Arabidopsis thaliana: one gene and its partners. The protein of the gene in region 1 purifies or fractionates together with the protein of each later gene. This does not show direct contact. Each region holds a gene or a part of one and is shown in the gene's direction. Other genes may lie near its edges.

The links. Proteins that work in one complex are often made in the same cells at the same time.
Region 2: the proteins of RbcX2 (region 1) and ACC1 purify together in Arabidopsis thaliana (affinity purification with mass spectrometry, with the first as the bait; one study listed by BioGRID). This does not show direct contact.
Region 3: the proteins of RbcX2 (region 1) and LHCB5 purify together in Arabidopsis thaliana (affinity purification with mass spectrometry, with the first as the bait; one study listed by BioGRID). This does not show direct contact.

The regions. Positions count from the first base shown.
Region 1 is NC_003076.8:6,710,981-6,716,720, reverse strand, and holds RbcX2 (Chaperonin-like RbcX protein), read left to right. Parts: upstream 1-2,783; 5' UTR 2,784-3,275; coding exon 3,276-3,557; intron 3,558-3,652; coding exon 3,653-3,744; intron 3,745-3,868; coding exon 3,869-3,926; coding exon of another isoform or gene 3,927-3,956; exon of another isoform or gene 3,957-4,265; coding exon 4,266-4,331; intron 4,332-4,441; coding exon 4,442-4,555; 3' UTR 4,556-4,749; downstream 4,750-5,740. Other genes in the region: AT5G19870 (transmembrane epididymal protein (DUF716)), read left to right, coding at 1-539; AT5G19860 (transmembrane protein, putative (Protein of unknown function, DUF538)), read left to right, coding at 884-1,381, 2,141-2,188; AT5G19850 (alpha/beta-Hydrolases superfamily protein), read left to right, coding at 5,059-5,285, 5,407-5,499, 5,578-5,740. UniProt on the Arabidopsis thaliana protein: Chaperone involved in RuBisCO assembly process.
Region 2 is NC_003070.9:13,530,723-13,536,977, forward strand, and holds the start of ACC1 (acetyl-CoA carboxylase 1), read left to right. Parts: upstream 1-2,445; 5' UTR 2,446-2,837; exon of another isoform or gene 2,838-3,176; intron 3,177-3,444; 5' UTR 3,445-3,473; coding exon 3,474-3,815; intron 3,816-3,966; coding exon 3,967-4,173; intron 4,174-4,259; coding exon 4,260-4,421; intron 4,422-4,502; coding exon 4,503-4,595; intron 4,596-4,728; coding exon 4,729-4,824; intron 4,825-5,004; coding exon 5,005-5,178; intron 5,179-5,271; coding exon 5,272-5,365; intron 5,366-5,460; coding exon 5,461-5,648; intron 5,649-5,730; coding exon 5,731-5,781; intron 5,782-5,855; coding exon 5,856-5,895; intron 5,896-5,983; coding exon 5,984-6,108; intron 6,109-6,184; coding exon 6,185-6,255. UniProt on the Arabidopsis thaliana protein: Multifunctional enzyme that catalyzes the carboxylation of acetyl-CoA, forming malonyl-CoA, which is used in the plastid for fatty acid synthesis and in the cytosol in various biosynthetic pathways including fatty acid elongation.
Region 3 is NC_003075.7:6,405,363-6,411,159, forward strand, and holds LHCB5 (light harvesting complex of photosystem II 5), read left to right. Parts: upstream 1-2,644; 5' UTR 2,645-2,837; coding exon 2,838-3,027; intron 3,028-3,110; coding exon 3,111-3,195; intron 3,196-3,284; coding exon 3,285-3,335; intron 3,336-3,433; coding exon 3,434-3,554; intron 3,555-3,660; coding exon 3,661-3,795; intron 3,796-3,873; coding exon 3,874-4,134; 3' UTR 4,135-4,487; downstream 4,488-5,797. Other genes in the region: AT4G10330 (glycine-rich protein), read left to right, coding at 1,189-1,336, 1,444-1,594, 1,681-1,774. UniProt on the Arabidopsis thaliana protein: The light-harvesting complex (LHC) functions as a light receptor, it captures and delivers excitation energy to photosystems with which it is closely associated.

The DNA.
Region 1 (5,740 bases):
CCTTCACCTTCATCACCTATGCAGCTTTCGCCATCGTCTTTGATAAAACAAGACCAATAGCTCATCGATCCCTCATCAACTTGATCGCGGCCCTCGCCTTCGCCCAACAACTCTTCCTCTTCCATTTCCACTCGTCAGACCACACAGGCGTTGAGGGCCACTACCATTTATTGCTCCAACTCGTAGTTTTCGTCTCCTTGGTCACAACACTCTTGGGAATCGCCTTACCAAGTAGCTTCATATTGAGTTTTGTTCGGTCACTTAGTGTTTCCTTCCAAGGAATATGGCTTATGTCAATGGCTTGCATGCTTTGGACGCCAAGTTTAGTTCCCAAGGATTGTTTCCTTCACATTGAAGAGGGTAAACACACCATTAGATGCTCAGACGTCAAAGCTCTTCATAGAGCAATATCATTGGTTAATATCCAATTCAGCTGGTTTCTTGTGATCATAACCATCTTTGCAATGTGGTTTTACATATTTTTGCAAAGGATCTACGGTGAGAAAATTGAATACTCTCAGCTTCGAACAAAGGATTAATCCAAAAACATGGAGATCATGATCACCATGACTGAAGTTCATGATGCTGAGTCACAAAATGGAGTCGAGCCACTAGTTTGAAAATCATTCCCACTAAAAACTACCAATTTTCTTATAATGTTTTCTTATTTCCAATTCAGAGAAGCTTGATCATTTGTATATATTATAAAAACATATTGTGTAATTATTGTAAACGACCACTAAATTTTAGATGAGACGTGGCAATTACGTCTACAATTTTCTTAGGTCTAAAAAAAAGAGTCAAACTAATCTCAAAAACGATTCTCTACAAAATCAATCAATCTCAGAAGTCTTCTCTCTCTCTCTCTATCCTCAAACAAAGTATGGCCCTTTATCCTTTCTTCATCTCAATCTTCATCTTCTCTTTGACCCTCTTCACTACGACGACCCATTCCCTCAACGAACCCGACCCGGATTCGATTTCCACCGTTTACGAACTCCTCCCAAAGTACGGTCTCCCAAGCGGTCTCTTACCGGACACCGTCACCGATTTCACCCTCTCCGACGATGGCCGATTCGTCGTTCACTTGCCCAATTCCTGTGAGATTGAATTTGACTACCTCGTTCACTACGATAAGACCATATCTGGTCGTATCGGTTACGGTTCAATCACCGAGCTCAAGGGTATTCAGGTGAAGAAATTCTTTATTTGGCTCGATGTCGATGAGATCAAGGTCGATCTTCCACCTTCTGATTCAATCTACTTCAAAGTTGGCTTTATCAATAAGAAGCTTGATATTGACCAGTTTAAGACTATACATTCTTGTCACGATAATGGTGTCTCTGGCTCTTGTGGAGATTCATGGAAGAGTTTTCTCGAGGTAAAGATTAGATCTTTGCGTTTTTGGGGCCGTAAATTTGGTTGATATGATTGAAGATATTTCTGGGCTTTAAGGGTTCTTGAGGATTTATAGGAGATACTGATAGATTCTGGAATCTCTGAGTTTCTGGGTTCAAGTTGCACTGACCATTGTTGGATTTGTAGATTGTTTCTTCATTTCATTAGGCATTGATTATGGGTAAATGCGTGGGTACATATAATATATATCTGTTGAATGCAATTTACACATTGACTGAGGAACAACATGAACATGGCAGCTTTCTCAAAATTGAACCACAGAAGGCTTAAAAGCAAAGTCTTTGGAGAATCAGACTAAGCTTGAGAAAGGGTTGAAATTTATCTATCTAAGACTTGTGAAAAGAAACTGTATTTAATGCTTTCACATTGCTGGTTTTTGAGGGACATACATCATTGAAAGTTGAAACTGATAGTAGCAGAGTTTTTTCCTCTGTTTGGTTCTCTTTTGTTCTTTTAGTTCGTAGTGATAGCTTAATGCGTAGCTGAGAAAAGTGGAATGCTGTTTGTTTATAATACTAAAGTAGGTCATTCTGCATTTCTTGCAATGTCAGTTGTACAAGCCTCTAGCAAATGTTTTCCGATCTTTGATGGTTTTTGTCTGGTTCTTGAAATGGTCATTGCCTTAGATCCTTTCAAACCAGCCAACTCGCGAAAGTGATTCAGGCTGGTTTGTAGGGAATTGGTGGTACCTGCAATTAACAGAAGCTTTTGTTTTTCTCAGAAAGGGCAAGGAATGATGGATGAAGCGGAAATGTTAATCACCGAGTAAAACACTCTTGGCAGTCACAGAGTCTGCGACAACACGCAGATAGAGTTGAGTCTCTAAGTCATGTTTGTACATATACATACAATAACTAGACAAGTCTTTTCTGTAAGACTTGGTATGAAATGTCGATATATCCATTATGTACGTCTTGTTAAAACTGGTTTCCACGAAAATGTTGTATCTCATGACTAAATGTCCCCGAGTTCGTTCCTCACCACCATAGTTAGACTGTGTGGCCGTTAAGCTCCTTACTACTAGTTGTTGTATCATGTATGGCATAACGAATGGAAGATGCATTCTAAGAGCTGATAGGTTGTTTCATATATTACATTAGAAGGTGATCTGCTTGAGAACTTGATCTGTTTGACTCTTACCAGATTATACTAAGAATACATTCAAGTTCGGAATGATCTGCTTGAGAACTTGATCATTCTCGGTGACCGTAAGGGTTTTAGTGGCTGTGATGAAGGAAAGGGCTGAGCACAAGCCTTGATGTACATTGATGTCCTTGTTGATGTGATAGTGGAATGGTTTTGAACTACTGATTCGAGAGTCATGGTGGCTGAGATATGCCGAACAAGATGGCCGAGAGTCTTATAGCAAACTTATTTTCTCCATTGGTAACCAAAAAAATCCGGCCTTTGATTATGCCTTGGATTCATAAGCATTTTAGACCGATGCCCGAACTCGTGATTTTGAAGACTTTCTCGTGATTCTGCAATTCTCCCATGTTTTTTCTAACTTACAAGCTGCAAGACGACAAGAAATACACCTTATTTTAGGGAGGCGTCCACGTAAACCCGAAAGCCCACCCGGTGCTTTTCTTGTTTGTCTTTGCCTTTGCCTCTGCTTGCTAGGAAAAATAAATAAATATCACAAGTCCCTGATTTTGACTGGCTAAGATTCAACGGCCATTTTCCATCTTACAGACCCAATTCTTGTTTTCTGTTTTGCTATAACAAACCAGGGTCAGGGTTTTATCTTCCATATTCTTTTCCCACTGATTCTTACAATCGATCTAAGGGAATCTACGAACTGTTTGGTAATTTCTGGTGGGAAAAGTCTTGATCTTGCTGTTTGGTTTGGAGTAATGGTGAGTGCTTGGTTTGTTGTTGGCTCACCGGTGATGGACTCTTCGAGCAGTCCATGTTTATGTCTGGATGCTCACACGACGGGTACCATCAGGAGGAAGAAGATCCTTGGCAAAGCAAGAAATCTGGAATTAGGAAGCTCTTTCACTGGCTCACGCATTGTTTTTAGGCTTTCTCCGAAGCGTGTATCGAGAATTGCGAATCGAAAGAGCAAAAAGCTCTTGATTGTGAATGAGGATGTTGCTGGTAATTACGACGATACCTTCGGTGATGTACAAAAGGTGAGAGAACTTTTGCATGAACCCTTGTTTTCATAGACAAAGATTTGACCTTTGGCAATAACCTTATTATGGATGGCTGGCTTTCGATTTTGTAGCAAATTGTTAATTATTTTACATACAAAGCTGTGAGGACGGTTCTTCATCAGCTGTACGAAATGAATCCTCCTCAATACACTTGGTTCTATAAGTAAGTTTCTTATGCTTTATCATTTGATTAAAGTTCTGTATAGGATTAGATTTAACAAAAACACTTTACTCCGATCATTTTTGCCTTGTGGTCTTAATTATGTTTCTCCTTTGTTGTAAAACAGTCATATCATAACAAACAGACCGACGGATGGCAAACGTTTCCTCCGTGCCCTCGGCAAGGTAAACAAGTTTAGTTTATATCTCACATGAACAAGCATCATCTGTAAGATGCATTAGGTCTAGTTGAACAAGTTCAGCTGGTATACTATAACTAGCCGAGGACTGAATGTAGCAGATTGTAGCTGTGGTGAGTTGGTTAATGAGCAGTTAGTGAGGGCTGAAGTTTATAAGACTTGTCTCTGATTTGGTGTATTGCAACAGAGATAGCAGTTCCATAGATTTGTTCTTATTACAATCACACTGTGTTGTGATAAATTATGTTTGATTCAACCTTGTTTAGAGCTTGGTATTTAAACACAGACAATTGAGTTTGATTTTTTTTGTCTTAACTACTTGTAGGAGAGTCAGGAGCTTGCAGAAAGAGTGATGATCACGCGTCTTCACTTGTATGGCAAATGGATCAAGGTAAAATCGCTTGCTATATCTCGCTCCAGTTTTGGTTTATGTGTTTTTCCCTTCCTGCCATGGGAACCAGAAAAGACTCAAAAGTTAATATTGTATAGTTTGTTGTGTAGAAATGCGACCATGGGAAGATATACCAGGAAATATCGGATGAAAACTTGGCGTTGATGCGTGAACGCCTGATGGAGACCGTGATATGGCCTTCCGATGACACAAACTCAAGGTAATAGGCTGAAGAAGACAGCGCACACCACAGCACAACATTTGCTTTGTCAATTTGCTTCTCAGTTTTTAGGACTTCGAGTTTTTTAGTTTGATTACATATTACTATAGTGAAAGAGCAGTGTGTATATGATGTCTATTCTTGGCATGTACTATATGATATTAGGGGCAAAAAACAACACCCTTCTTGTGCTCCTAAACTTACTTTCTCAGTCATCTCTTACGCTCACACCACTCACATTAACATTGGTAGGCTCAAAATGATAATCACAATGCCAATCTTCTCATTTTGCAAATAAAGAAAAGAAAATAATAAAAATTGATTACTAGTTTTGAGTATTGACAACCTTTATAAGCAAGCAACAACAGGCTTGAATGCAATGACGTGGTCATGATTAAGGAAAACAGCGGTTGGTCCAAATCGTAACACTTGTCCTCGTAACAACTTCAAAACCTGGTTTGACTTATATTACAGTCCTCACTCATCACGGAACCACGCCGAAAATTCATGGCGAAGACTAGCATTTTTGCAGCTCTACCCTTTACCAACTTCGAATTCCCGTCGCTGTTCCGTGTCAAGAACTCTTCGATTATCAGTTTCAGCGAAACCCATTTTCTCCGACAATCAATTTCGACCGCAATCGTAAGATCTCCGACTAAGAGGGGAATTGTGTCCGTCTCATGTTCTTCCGTCACGGACGAAGCTTCTTCTGAAGAGCTACAAGTTCGAACCTTGTAATATCACCTTCCTGTTTCTTCTGCAATCTATGTATATAAACTTATAGCTAACGATTGGACTGGTCTTTCTTGGTTTCTGATTAAAATCCGTGGATTGACGAAATGTGGGTATTTGCAGGACATGGAAGTGGAAAGGTTATTCGATAAGATATCAATGTGCTGGAACCAGTGGCCCTGCTTTGGTCTTGGTTCATGGTTTCGGTGCTAACAGGTCTAAATCATTGCCCCTTTAGCTGATAGGGACTTGAGAACCATATGTTTAACAGTAACATTTTTGTTATGTTATCAGTGACCATTGGAGGAAGAACACACCTATTCTTGGGAAAACACATAGGGTGTACTCAATCGATCTTATCGGATATGGATACTCCGATAAACCGAATCCTCGTGAGTTTGGTGGAGAACCATTCTACACTTTTGAGACATGGGGTGAGCAACTCAATGATTTCTGT
Region 2 (6,255 bases), on another chromosome or scaffold:
GTTAATGAGACCATTTTTATTCTTATTTTAAATAATCAAACAAAATGAAGAACCATATTTGACTGTGTTTTTTTGCGATTTTTAAATTATTTTATTGTAAACTAAACTGTGGAATTATTTATTTTGTTGATATTTTAATTTTTTTATTCCTACAAATAGTTAAGAATTTAATATTGGAAACATGAAACTTGAATGCATGTATTTCTATCACTACAAAATAAAATTGATGGTTGATTTTAACATAACCTTTTTTATTGGTCAAACATTTTAACGATCTGATGATTGATTTTATGGTTTGTTACTTCTAATAAAAAGAAAAATATCTCATTATTAAAAACGAAATTTCTATGTATAAAATTATCGCTATATTATCACTTTTACTGAACCGATGTCAAATTACTCGATTACAACATCAATTGTTATAATTGATGCTAAACTACATAGTTTGTATCATTTATTAATAAATAATTTTTAAATTGATATTGTTTATTTTTGTGATACTATGTAAGTGCTGCAATCAACCATTTTTCTTGTATTGTATGAAAATGATTTGCCTAAAATCATATATCAGCTAATCAAAGAGATAGATGCATATGTGCTAATTAATTAAACAATACATATGAAATTATACCTCTTATATAAAACCATCGACAAAGAGTTGTGATGAATGATGATTTCTGTATATTAATGATTTTTGGTGAAACATATAAATGATTTTATAAATATGAATGGTTTGCAATACAATATGCTTTTATGAATTATAGTCGTGATAAATAAAGTAAAAGCATATCTGAGACACTAACATATACGATATAGTCTAGAATGTGGTAAAAGTTTTTATTATCCTTAGCTTAACATGGCCATGCATATTATTGTGAGATGACCACCTCATGCGTATGAGGTAGATAGATGAAGAATTGGTAAAAATCTATGAATTGATTTTACATGACTAACTTGAACTTGGGTGCAACACTAATCTAGATCTTGGTCCAATATACGTTCTACTAAATGAGAAACAAAACATTAAAACATTTGAAACACATAATTTACAAGCAAGAGGAAAATAAAATGTTGGTAACCTAAACCACCCAACCTTGTGTCAACGACTCAACGTACACAAATACAATTCCTCTTGGCTTTAATCTATTATATTACACATTCCTAAGACAATAATAAATATTTTCTTTAAAACGGAAACAGACCGACCAAATAAACGAAATAATAAATCTCATACAATGCGATCCATTTGCTATGGCCTCTTGTGACGTATTTGAAGTTCATTTAACACAGACGGTAGAAATTTATTGTCTTCTTCATGGCTTACCTAATACTATTTTAAAATAGATATCTTTCATTGCTTAACAAATTTATACCATTCTTCTTTTATTCGGCACAAATCTATGTTTTGCTATCATTTGCTTTGTTCGGATACAAATGTAAAAGAGATAGTTATGTAGTAAACTAAATGTAGTAAACTTTTAAATAAGAAAATTATGAAATAAACTCAAATCAGCATTTTCTTGATACTTTCTAATAGTCTTAAATATACACAAGAACAAAACATAAGTATATAACCATAAATTGAAGTTAGCTAAAGAGAACATAAATCTAAAGATGGTAAAGGAATAATATTTCTTGATTTGGCCTGCGAATATATTGAGAAAAAAGTTTCCAACAAGTTAAATGTATCTTATATAAAGCATTAAGAATGGTATATATTAATTTAAATATAACCTAGAAAAACTATGCAAAAGATTTGTTTGGGTTTGAAGATTATCCACTTAAATTTGGCAATTAAATTCAAGAAACTATTGGTAAATTATATATGCCAAAAACTAAACTGGCAAAAAATATTGAAATCTCCGGAGATAACCGAAAAACCTAAGTTTTATCGATTAAATCTAATCATATTCTCTAGATTTTCTCTGAAATTAAAAATTATTCTGATGTCTATAAAAAATCACAAATTCCATATAAAATTTCCTGTAATCATATATTTTTGGTTTGGTTAAAATTTTTTTTTTTCCAAAACTTGAAATAAAACTTTGTATAATAATACTATGCAATAGATTTGTTCGGGTTAGAAGATTATCCATCTAAATTTAGCAACTAAATTCAAAAAACAATTGATAACATAATATATCTCTGTAAACTATATATGCCAACATAAAAAATATTTTTTTCTGCAAAATAAACTGGCAAAAATTATTGAAATCTTCGAAAATGACCGAAAAACCGAAGTTTTATCGATTAAATCTTGTCATATTCTCTAGATCTTCTCTCTGAAATAAAAATTGTTTTGATGTCTATAAAAAATCACAAATTCCATATAAAATTTCTACAGTATTCAATTTTTTTTTTGTTTTGGTAAATAAAAAAACTTGGTTCTAAAACTGGAAATAAAACTTGAAATAAAACTTTGTATAATACTACAATGAGAAGCATTGGGAAATAATATAGCGGAAAAAACAAGAGTGGGGGGATGAAATGAGGTAGCTGAGGAACAAGTACGGCGCCTCCTAACAAAAAGGGATCGAAAAAAAACAATGGAGGTGTGGAGTGTGGCGGAGGCAGAGACCACGTGCTCTCTCTTCTCTTCTTCTCCTTCATCTTCTTCCTCTCTTCATCATCTCCCATTATTAACTCTTCTGACCCCACTTTCCTTCTCCTCTTCTAACTCCAACCTACCCTCTTCTCTCTTCCCTCTCTTAAAACCCTTTCTCTCTCCCTCATTCTCTTCCATGTCCTCCTCTCTGTTATTCTTTAGCTAAACACCCACAATTCTGGCCTTCTCTGATGCCTCTTTAAGCCAATTTGTATCTCTGCTTCCTTACAAGGTTTAAAGTTTTCTGCTTTTGCTGATTTTGTTATTTGGGTGTTTTAAAGTTTTGATTTTTATGGTTTAGCAATCGGAATTTGGACTTGTTTTTGTGATTTTTTACTTGTTGTTGGAGTTGGGTTTTGTTGAGTTTTTGTTATTTGGGTGTTTTAAAGTTTTGATTTTTATGGTTTAGCAATGAGAATTTTGCACTTGTTTTTGTGATTTTAACTTGTTGTTGAAGTTGGGTTTTGTTGAGTTTTCGACTTCAATATTGTAGAATTTTAGTGGGTTTGGGGAGTTTATAATCATTAGTTCTGAGATCTCTCAGATTTCTAAAGGAACTCATTATTATTGGGTAATGATGCTTTCTTACTTGCAAGATCTTTGCTTATGATTGCGTTTTGCTTTTTCTATACTCTTTTTTTCTTCATGTGATTACGCAAAAGCATTGCTGTCATCTTTGTTAATTCCACCTTGTAATCTGAAGCATCTTTGTTTGTTAGATTAAGCAACCAGATTAGGAATTGTTTTAATATTCCTGTTATGTTCTTTCAAGTCATTTTGGTAGATAGCATCAGTTTCTTTGTAAAGTGATTCAGTATGTGTTTATGGCTGTTTTGTAGATATATCTGAAGCTTAAAGGGCAGTGACAATGGCTGGCTCGGTTAACGGGAATCATAGTGCTGTAGGACCTGGTATAAATTATGAGACGGTGTCTCAAGTGGATGAGTTCTGTAAAGCACTTAGAGGGAAAAGGCCGATCCATAGTATTTTGATAGCTAACAATGGAATGGCGGCTGTGAAGTTTATACGTAGTGTCAGAACATGGGCTTATGAAACATTTGGTACGGAAAAAGCCATATTGTTGGTGGGGATGGCAACCCCTGAAGACATGCGGATCAATGCGGAGCATATCAGAATCGCTGATCAGTTTGTTGAGGTTCCCGGAGGAACCAACAATAACAATTATGCTAACGTTCAGCTGATTGTGGAGGTGAATCCAACTTTTGGGAACTACTATTATCTGAATTATCGTGTTTTACTGTACAGAACACATGTATTAAGCTCAATTTCAGCAATGAAGTTTTGGTCTTTGGAGTTATTTTTCATTCATCTGAACATCTTTGTCTACAACCTGTGTGCAGATGGCTGAAGTAACACGCGTGGATGCAGTTTGGCCTGGTTGGGGTCATGCATCTGAAAACCCCGAATTACCTGATGCCCTAGATGCAAAAGGAATCATATTTCTTGGTCCTCCAGCATCTTCAATGGCAGCACTGGGAGATAAGATTGGTTCTTCGTTGATTGCACAAGCTGCTGATGTACCCACTCTGCCATGGAGTGGTTCCCATGTAAGTAAATTTACTCTTGTTAAGCTTAGCTTGTGTACCAGAGGTATATATTTTCATTTTTATATACTGAATTCCTATGTTTTCAGGTTAAAATACCTCCTAATAGCAACTTGGTAACCATCCCAGAGGAGATCTACCGGCAAGCATGTGTCTACACAACTGAAGAAGCGATTGCTAGCTGTCAAGTTGTCGGTTACCCAGCAATGATCAAAGCATCGTGGGGTGGTGGTGGTAAAGGAATCAGGAAGGTCAGCTTCTGTAGATATGCCTTTTGATTGTGGACTAAGCCGATTACTATATAAGTACTTATTCTGGTTTTAAATTTATAGGTTCATAATGATGATGAGGTTAGGGCTCTATTCAAGCAAGTTCAGGGTGAGGTCCCAGGCTCACCAATATTCATAATGAAGGTTGCGTCACAGGTATGGCTGCTTAACTATATCTCTTGATCGAAGCTTAGCTGAGTTCTTATCTGGTTACTTTACTAGAGAATTTAAAGTAGTAATGCATTGCTTTTCTTTACATTTCATTTTTTCTAATTTTTTTTTTGTATAGAGTCGGCATCTAGAGGTCCAGCTGCTCTGTGACAAGCATGGAAATGTTTCAGCTCTGCATAGCCGTGATTGTAGCGTCCAGAGAAGACATCAAAAGGTTTGTTAGTGGTTGATTCTGGATTTTTAATTGTCTGGTTAGTGGTTATATAGAAAAACATTCTGTCCATTTATTCTTATATAGTTATATACATCAATTTTTGTTCTCCAACTGAGTTATAGTCCCTTTTAGCGATTGCAAATTATTGCATGAGCTCTTACTTTATCGTTTGTATCGTAGATCATAGAGGAGGGTCCAATTACTGTGGCTCCGCCAGAAACTGTCAAGAAACTTGAACAAGCAGCTAGAAGGTTGGCTAAGAGTGTTAACTATGTTGGAGCTGCTACTGTTGAGTATCTCTACAGTATGGACACTGGGGAGTACTACTTCTTAGAGCTTAACCCTCGCTTACAGGTTGGTTTCATACTGCAGCTTTTTGCGTTGAAATATATTGAAGGTCCGGACTTGAAAATTGAATGACTTGTTTAACTTGATGTTTGAGGTCAGGTTGAGCATCCTGTCACTGAGTGGATTGCCGAGATAAATCTTCCTGCTGCCCAAGTTGCTGTGGGGATGGGAATTCCTCTCTGGCAAATCCCTGGTATAATCTACGTCCTTATTTCTTACAGGCAGCGGTTCCTCTTCTTTATCCATGCACACGAATAATGTACTGTCTGTTTCTCTTTAATTTCGTAGAGATAAGACGGTTCTATGGAATAGAACATGGTGGAGGTTATGATTCTTGGCGAAAAACATCTGTTGTAGCCTTCCCTTTTGATTTTGATAAAGCTCAATCTATAAGGCCAAAAGGTCATTGTGTGGCTGTACGTGTGACAAGTGAGGATCCTGATGACGGGTTCAAACCAACCAGCGGTAGAGTTCAGGTAATGTGATATCTGTGGAATGCAAAGTGAAAGTTCATTCACTGAGAACTCTGTGGGTAACACTTGTATGAACTTGCAACAGGAGTTGAGTTTTAAGAGCAAGCCAAATGTGTGGGCGTACTTCTCTGTCAAGGTAATTATATCTATAGAGACTCTGCTATATAAGTGTTTCACAATGTTTTAAATTTTACGACTACTTTTTTACAGTCTGGTGGAGGCATCCACGAGTTCTCGGATTCCCAGTTTGGTAAGTTGAATGAAATAAATGTATTTGGGCTGCTAGGTTCTTTTCTTGAGTTTACAAAAATTGAAACTTTCTTTAATCTTCCATTCAGGACATGTTTTTGCATTTGGGGAATCCAGAGCCCTGGCGATAGCGAATATGGTTCTTGGGCTAAAAGAAATTCAGATCCGTGGAGAAATTAGGACTAACGTTGACTACACGATCGACCTTTTACATGTACGTTTCTTCTTGCACACAAACTTACACTCTGTGTATGCAATACCCTGACAAGATCATTTCAATTGTCAACCAGGCTTCTGATTACCGTGATAACAAAATTCACACTGGTTGGTTGGATAGTAGGATTGCTATGCGGGTCAGAGC
Region 3 (5,797 bases), on another chromosome or scaffold:
AGAGTTTTTTTTAACATTAAAACATGCATAGAATTTTTTCAAATAATTTTCTCGTACAAAATATGCAACAAATAATGATAAACATATTTTTAAATGCAAAATAGTTTTATATAAAATGAAAAGAATTATTACTTGCGATAGAATCTATAAGCCTTAATCTTTTATCATTGTGCTTATAATTTTGTCCAATCAAATTTCTCAACCTTTATTGGTTTATTATAGACTCATTGCGATCGAGTAATTTTTACTTATTCTAGTTTTTCTTATAAATAAATCATTAATTATTGCTATGTGATATATTTTCTTTCAAAATATTTTATGAATCAATAATTTTAGTGGTTAAAAAACTATGTGAAAGTGAAAATAAAAACACATGTAGTTGGCTTTATGCATTCATATAATCATTTTATACGTGGTGGGAATGAGAATACTTCAACAAGAAAATATGATTGTGAGTAAACACATTTTTAGTGGTAAAGTAGACGATAGATTTGTAAATAGATGTAAATTAGATGATGATTTGACTAGTAATTTCCATGTATAATATTTTTCGAATAAGGAAAAAACGAATATATAAATAAACAATTCTCAAAATAAAATATTATATATTTATTTTCTACTTACAATAAGATTTTAATATATCTTTTTGTTAAATTTATTTTAGTTTTAAAAATTAAACATGCATATTGGATGGAGTTTAATCTAGTTGAATCTAAAATTTAATAGTTTTACGAAAGATTTGTTATTAATTTTAGTTTTGAAATTGAGAATAAAACTAATGAGGCATCAATCCATTAAATATATGTAAGAACAAATCTTCATATATTATATAATATGTTTGGCAAATATATATAAAGTAACTGAAAACAAAGTGAAAATTTGAGAATAATTGTGGGTTTTTTAGTTTTATGTATTAAAAAAAATGTTGTTAATGAAAATCCATATTATTATGATATAAAACAAATTCATTATGAATATAAACATAACAGATATCTTCTATAAAATTCATTATGATATAAAACAAAAGATTAAAATAAAATAAACATAACAAATATCGCTTGTGAAATGAGATCTATATGACTATTGGGCTGAAGTTGGGCCTTGAGAAATAAGAGTGCGCCTTATAATATAGGCCCATTTAAAGTATGTATTGGCGAATCCACGCCGAAAGAGAGAGCGAAAGGGACGATGAGCAACAGAAGAAGAACCGGAGACGATGACAAAGGATTGCTCTGGAAACTTCCCCAAGTTAGGATCAGAGACATTGGAAAAGTTGGTCCAGCTTTTGGACTCGGTGTCGGTTGCGGATTTGGTTTCGGCGCCGGTCTTATCGGAGGTAAATTTCTAATTTCTCCCAATTTTGATCGCAGACTCGCGAATCGCTCGAAGCTATTTATAGATAGTTTTGGTTTAAGAGAGTAGAGATTGGTTTGATGAAAACAGGTGTAGGATTCGGACCAGGAGTTCCTGGATTACAATTTGGTCTTGGATTTGGAGCTGGTTGTGGAATTGGTGTAGGTTTTGGCTATGGTGTTGGAAGAGGAGCTGCTTATGATCACTCTCGTTCTTATTACAACGTTGGAAAACCATCTCTGTGAGTATTTGTCTGCAATTAGATTTTTAGTGATTAAGGATTTGAAGAAGAAGATGATGATTTTGACTTTGGTGATTTGTTGACAGGAATGAAGTTGATTCACTGATTGATGAACTTGTTGTTAGCACGAAGAAGCTTGTGAAAGCTACTACAAATGAAATCGACAAGTGGTTAAAATGATGAACTTTTAGGATTTGTTGCAGCTTCCAAGTAAATGGTAGTGTTTGGTTTGTTCTTAGATCAATAATGTAGATTTGGGGCTAGTGATAATCTCCTTTCTTTTTGTACAATTTTACGTATGGTATAAAGATGGATTCGCATAATTTAGGTGGCTGATTTATCATTCTGGTAATGTGTATGGTTTGAGTGCTGATTTTTGGTGCTATGAGTTGTTCTTTATGGCTCAACTTGGATCAATATGGAGGTTGAGTTTGAGATTTTCTCTCAGTTTAAGGAGGTAGAATAGTGCGTATAGTGGCACAGTGAGCTCAGCTCTAGGGCCAAAGGGCATAAATTCATTATAGCTCTTTCGATTCTACCGTAGTACTGTGTGTGAACCGGCACTGTGAACCAAGATGATTAAATTTTCGTATTCTCTATGTACATGATCCTGCGGCTCAATCGCTTCAGTTTCGATCCACATGATGTATATGTTATAGAATTGTGGGAAACTCCTTGTAGAAAGAGTATGTTCACGTCTAGGACTAGTCGGATGATTCGTTTCTCTTTTTGGTGTAATGAGTATGTTCATAACTGTTGATACAATGTGAAAATCTAACCGTTGAGCTTGGGAGTTTTACGTCTATATGAAAATTCCGGTTGTCGTCTACATTACGGTAGTAAACAGGACCACAGTGATTCCAAATGTCCCAAGGAATTTACTGAAAACCCCAACTAGGACTGTGAAAGGCTTGTGGATGACATTTAACAGTTGAGATTTTCATGTGTTTGAGATTCTTGTAACACATTTTGCTGTATAGGTGAAAGCTTAGCCACACAAAAGGAGAAACAGAGGATATGGATAAAATAAATTATCCAACAAAAACCAATCTAAAAGCCACATCAGCATCCACAACCAATCAGAGGACAGAATCATATTTCACATTTTCAATCCAGACCAATCAAAATCCTGAACGAATCCTACTCTCCACCTTATAGGAGCAGTTTCGTCTCTTCCTCCTTCTTTCACTTAGCTCTTCCTAGTGTTAAACCAGAGTAAAGCTTGAAACTTTGGACTAAAAGAATGGCGTCTTTGGGTGTGTCGGAAATGCTTGGTACTCCCCTTAACTTCAGGGCAGTTTCAAGATCGTCTGCTCCGTTGGCATCAAGCCCATCCACGTTCAAGACTGTTGCTCTCTTCTCTAAGAAAAAGCCAGCTCCTGCTAAGTCCAAGGCTGTCTCTGAGACTAGCGATGAGCTCGCCAAGTGGTATGGTATGTGTCTTCTAAATCCCTTTTATAATCATTTCTTGCTCTGTTTCTTTGTGAATGTGTTTGTAATTGTGACTCTTATGCAGGTCCTGACAGGAGAATTTTCTTGCCTGATGGTCTTTTGGATAGATCAGAGATCCCAGAGTACTTAAACGGTGAAGTTGCTGGAGAGTAAGACACTTTTTCATGTCTCTCTTTGTATGTATGCCTACTTTTGGATTCTGTGCTTAAGGTTTATTGGTCTGAATCTGAATTTGCAGTTATGGTTATGACCCATTTGGTCTTGGAAAGAAGCCTGAGAACTTTGCTAAGTAAGTAGATTCTTTTATCCTAAACCTTTTGTGTTTGCTTTGAGCTATATCTATCGAATTTGTCATTAAGATTGGTTCTTTAATGAATGTGGTTGTAGATACCAAGCTTTTGAATTGATCCATGCGAGATGGGCTATGTTAGGAGCAGCTGGTTTCATCATTCCTGAAGCTTTAAACAAATATGGCGCTAACTGTGGCCCTGAAGCTGTCTGGTTTAAGGTTCTTGCCTACGTCTAATCTTTATTTACATTCAGACTTAGATTCTTTAGCAAAGCAAGAATGTGTTGATGTGATGAGATGGTTCTTTTTGGAATACTGATTGCAGACTGGTGCTTTGCTTCTTGATGGAAACACATTGAACTACTTTGGCAAGAACATCCCTATCAACCTTGTTCTCGCCGTAGTTGCTGAGGTTGTTCTCCTCGGTGGAGCCGAGTACTACAGAATCACCAACGGATTGGTACATTACTCTCTAGTCTCTACATTTAGCTATTACTCATGGGAAAATGACTAAACTTGAAATGCAAATATTTGGTAGGATTTCGAGGACAAGCTACACCCAGGAGGTCCATTTGATCCTCTAGGCCTTGCTAAGGACCCTGAGCAAGGAGCTCTTCTCAAAGTCAAAGAGATCAAGAACGGGAGATTAGCCATGTTTGCGATGCTCGGTTTCTTTATCCAAGCGTATGTTACCGGAGAAGGTCCTGTTGAGAACCTTGCAAAGCATCTCAGTGATCCTTTTGGAAACAACTTGCTTACCGTCATCGCTGGAACTGCCGAGAGAGCTCCCACTCTCTAAGCCATTTCTACTTTTTTTAAGAGCTTCCAAAATGTACACTTTGTTCGATTGGAACTCCTTTTGACAATGTTAAAAAAACTTCCATCTGAATCTTCTTGATATATTTCAAATTTTCAATGGTGCTTTATCATGCTTCTAAGGATATACATAGTCACCCATTGGTTTAATATTTGTTGTTACCAAGAACGCTCTGTCACAATTTAGTCATACATTGCGATTTTATCACTAGTGGCGAGTATGGTAAAAAGTTTCACAACTAATATTGTGATGGAATTTGGGACTATATAAGTTAGTCGAGAGATGTGATCCGTTGAACAATATTAAGTAGCAGAAGATCAAATAGCAATGAGCAGTAGCAGAATATTTTCACAACTAATTAATCATTCTTACATTGTAAAGAACTAGTATTACTCACTCTCAACAATTGCATGTCTCATACAGTAATACCGATGTGTCATAAAAATGTGAATTTTGCTTCGATTGCAAAACACAAATTAGTGTTTTCACTCTGTGAGCTTTGAAGTTGCAGAAATCACAACCCCAATTGGATTCTAAACTCTAGCTAGGCATGTACATTTGCTTCGATTCAAAATAAGAATGTTTTCACTGTCAGATCAAAGGTTCAATAAGTGATAACCATTTTAAGCAAATCAAGCATTTATATTGCTTGATATTTTGTCACATCTAACCAACATTTAACAATTACATTTACTTTTAACAAGTAGGTCGTCTCTACTTCCGACCACCGTCGGGATTAGAACTCGTCCTCTGGTGTAGTCGTCAGATTCCATGATCTATGTTTTTGTAAGGCCTCAGCCCGAGGCCCATTAAAGGGGTTTTGATTATTAATATTAGTATTATTTAAAAAAAAAAAAAATTAAATCTAAATCTGAACTCATCTTTATAAACCCAAACCCTCGTTTAATTTGTAAAACTAACACATCAAGTGTTGGAACTCGCGGTCCTACATCAAGAGTATGGAAGCTGACGTGACGAAACTAGAGACATGATATGTAACATGTAAAAGACGACGTGGGAGCTAATTTTGCGTAGAGTTTGAAGATACGAGTTATTGTAGAGATTCACTAAATATTCTCTACAACAACTTAAGGAAAATATAACATTGATGTGCAAGGTTTATCCATTCGTGGAGATTTACGATTTTCTTAGGATTAGGGTTTTCATGTTGTGTACATATAGTCTAGAGAGGCCATGAGTCGTCGCTAACACTCTAGACTATTACTATAGCAGTGAGATTTGTAAACTTCAAAGCTAAAGTAGACACCTAGATTTACAGACATAACTTCATCCTCATTTAGTAGAACTGCAACTTAATTGCTCTACAAATTTCCGGTTCGCAATATTCGGGGAATTAAAGATTTTTTTTACCAATATAAGCACTTGACATAAACCTCGGAGTAGAGAATAATTAACCTTCCAATCGATCAGTTTCATACACATGGCAATTTAAGTCACTCTTATGCATCCAATTCTCTATAGTTCTTGCAAAACCAAACGACAAAATTTTGTGGAATATGCAAAATCCAAAGCAAAATAAGGCATGAAAACAACGATCAAAATTGAAAATTGAAGTGTTTTAAAGAATGATCGTGCTCAAGTTCTTCACTTTGCAAACTCATTAACATTTACGGATATATATCTC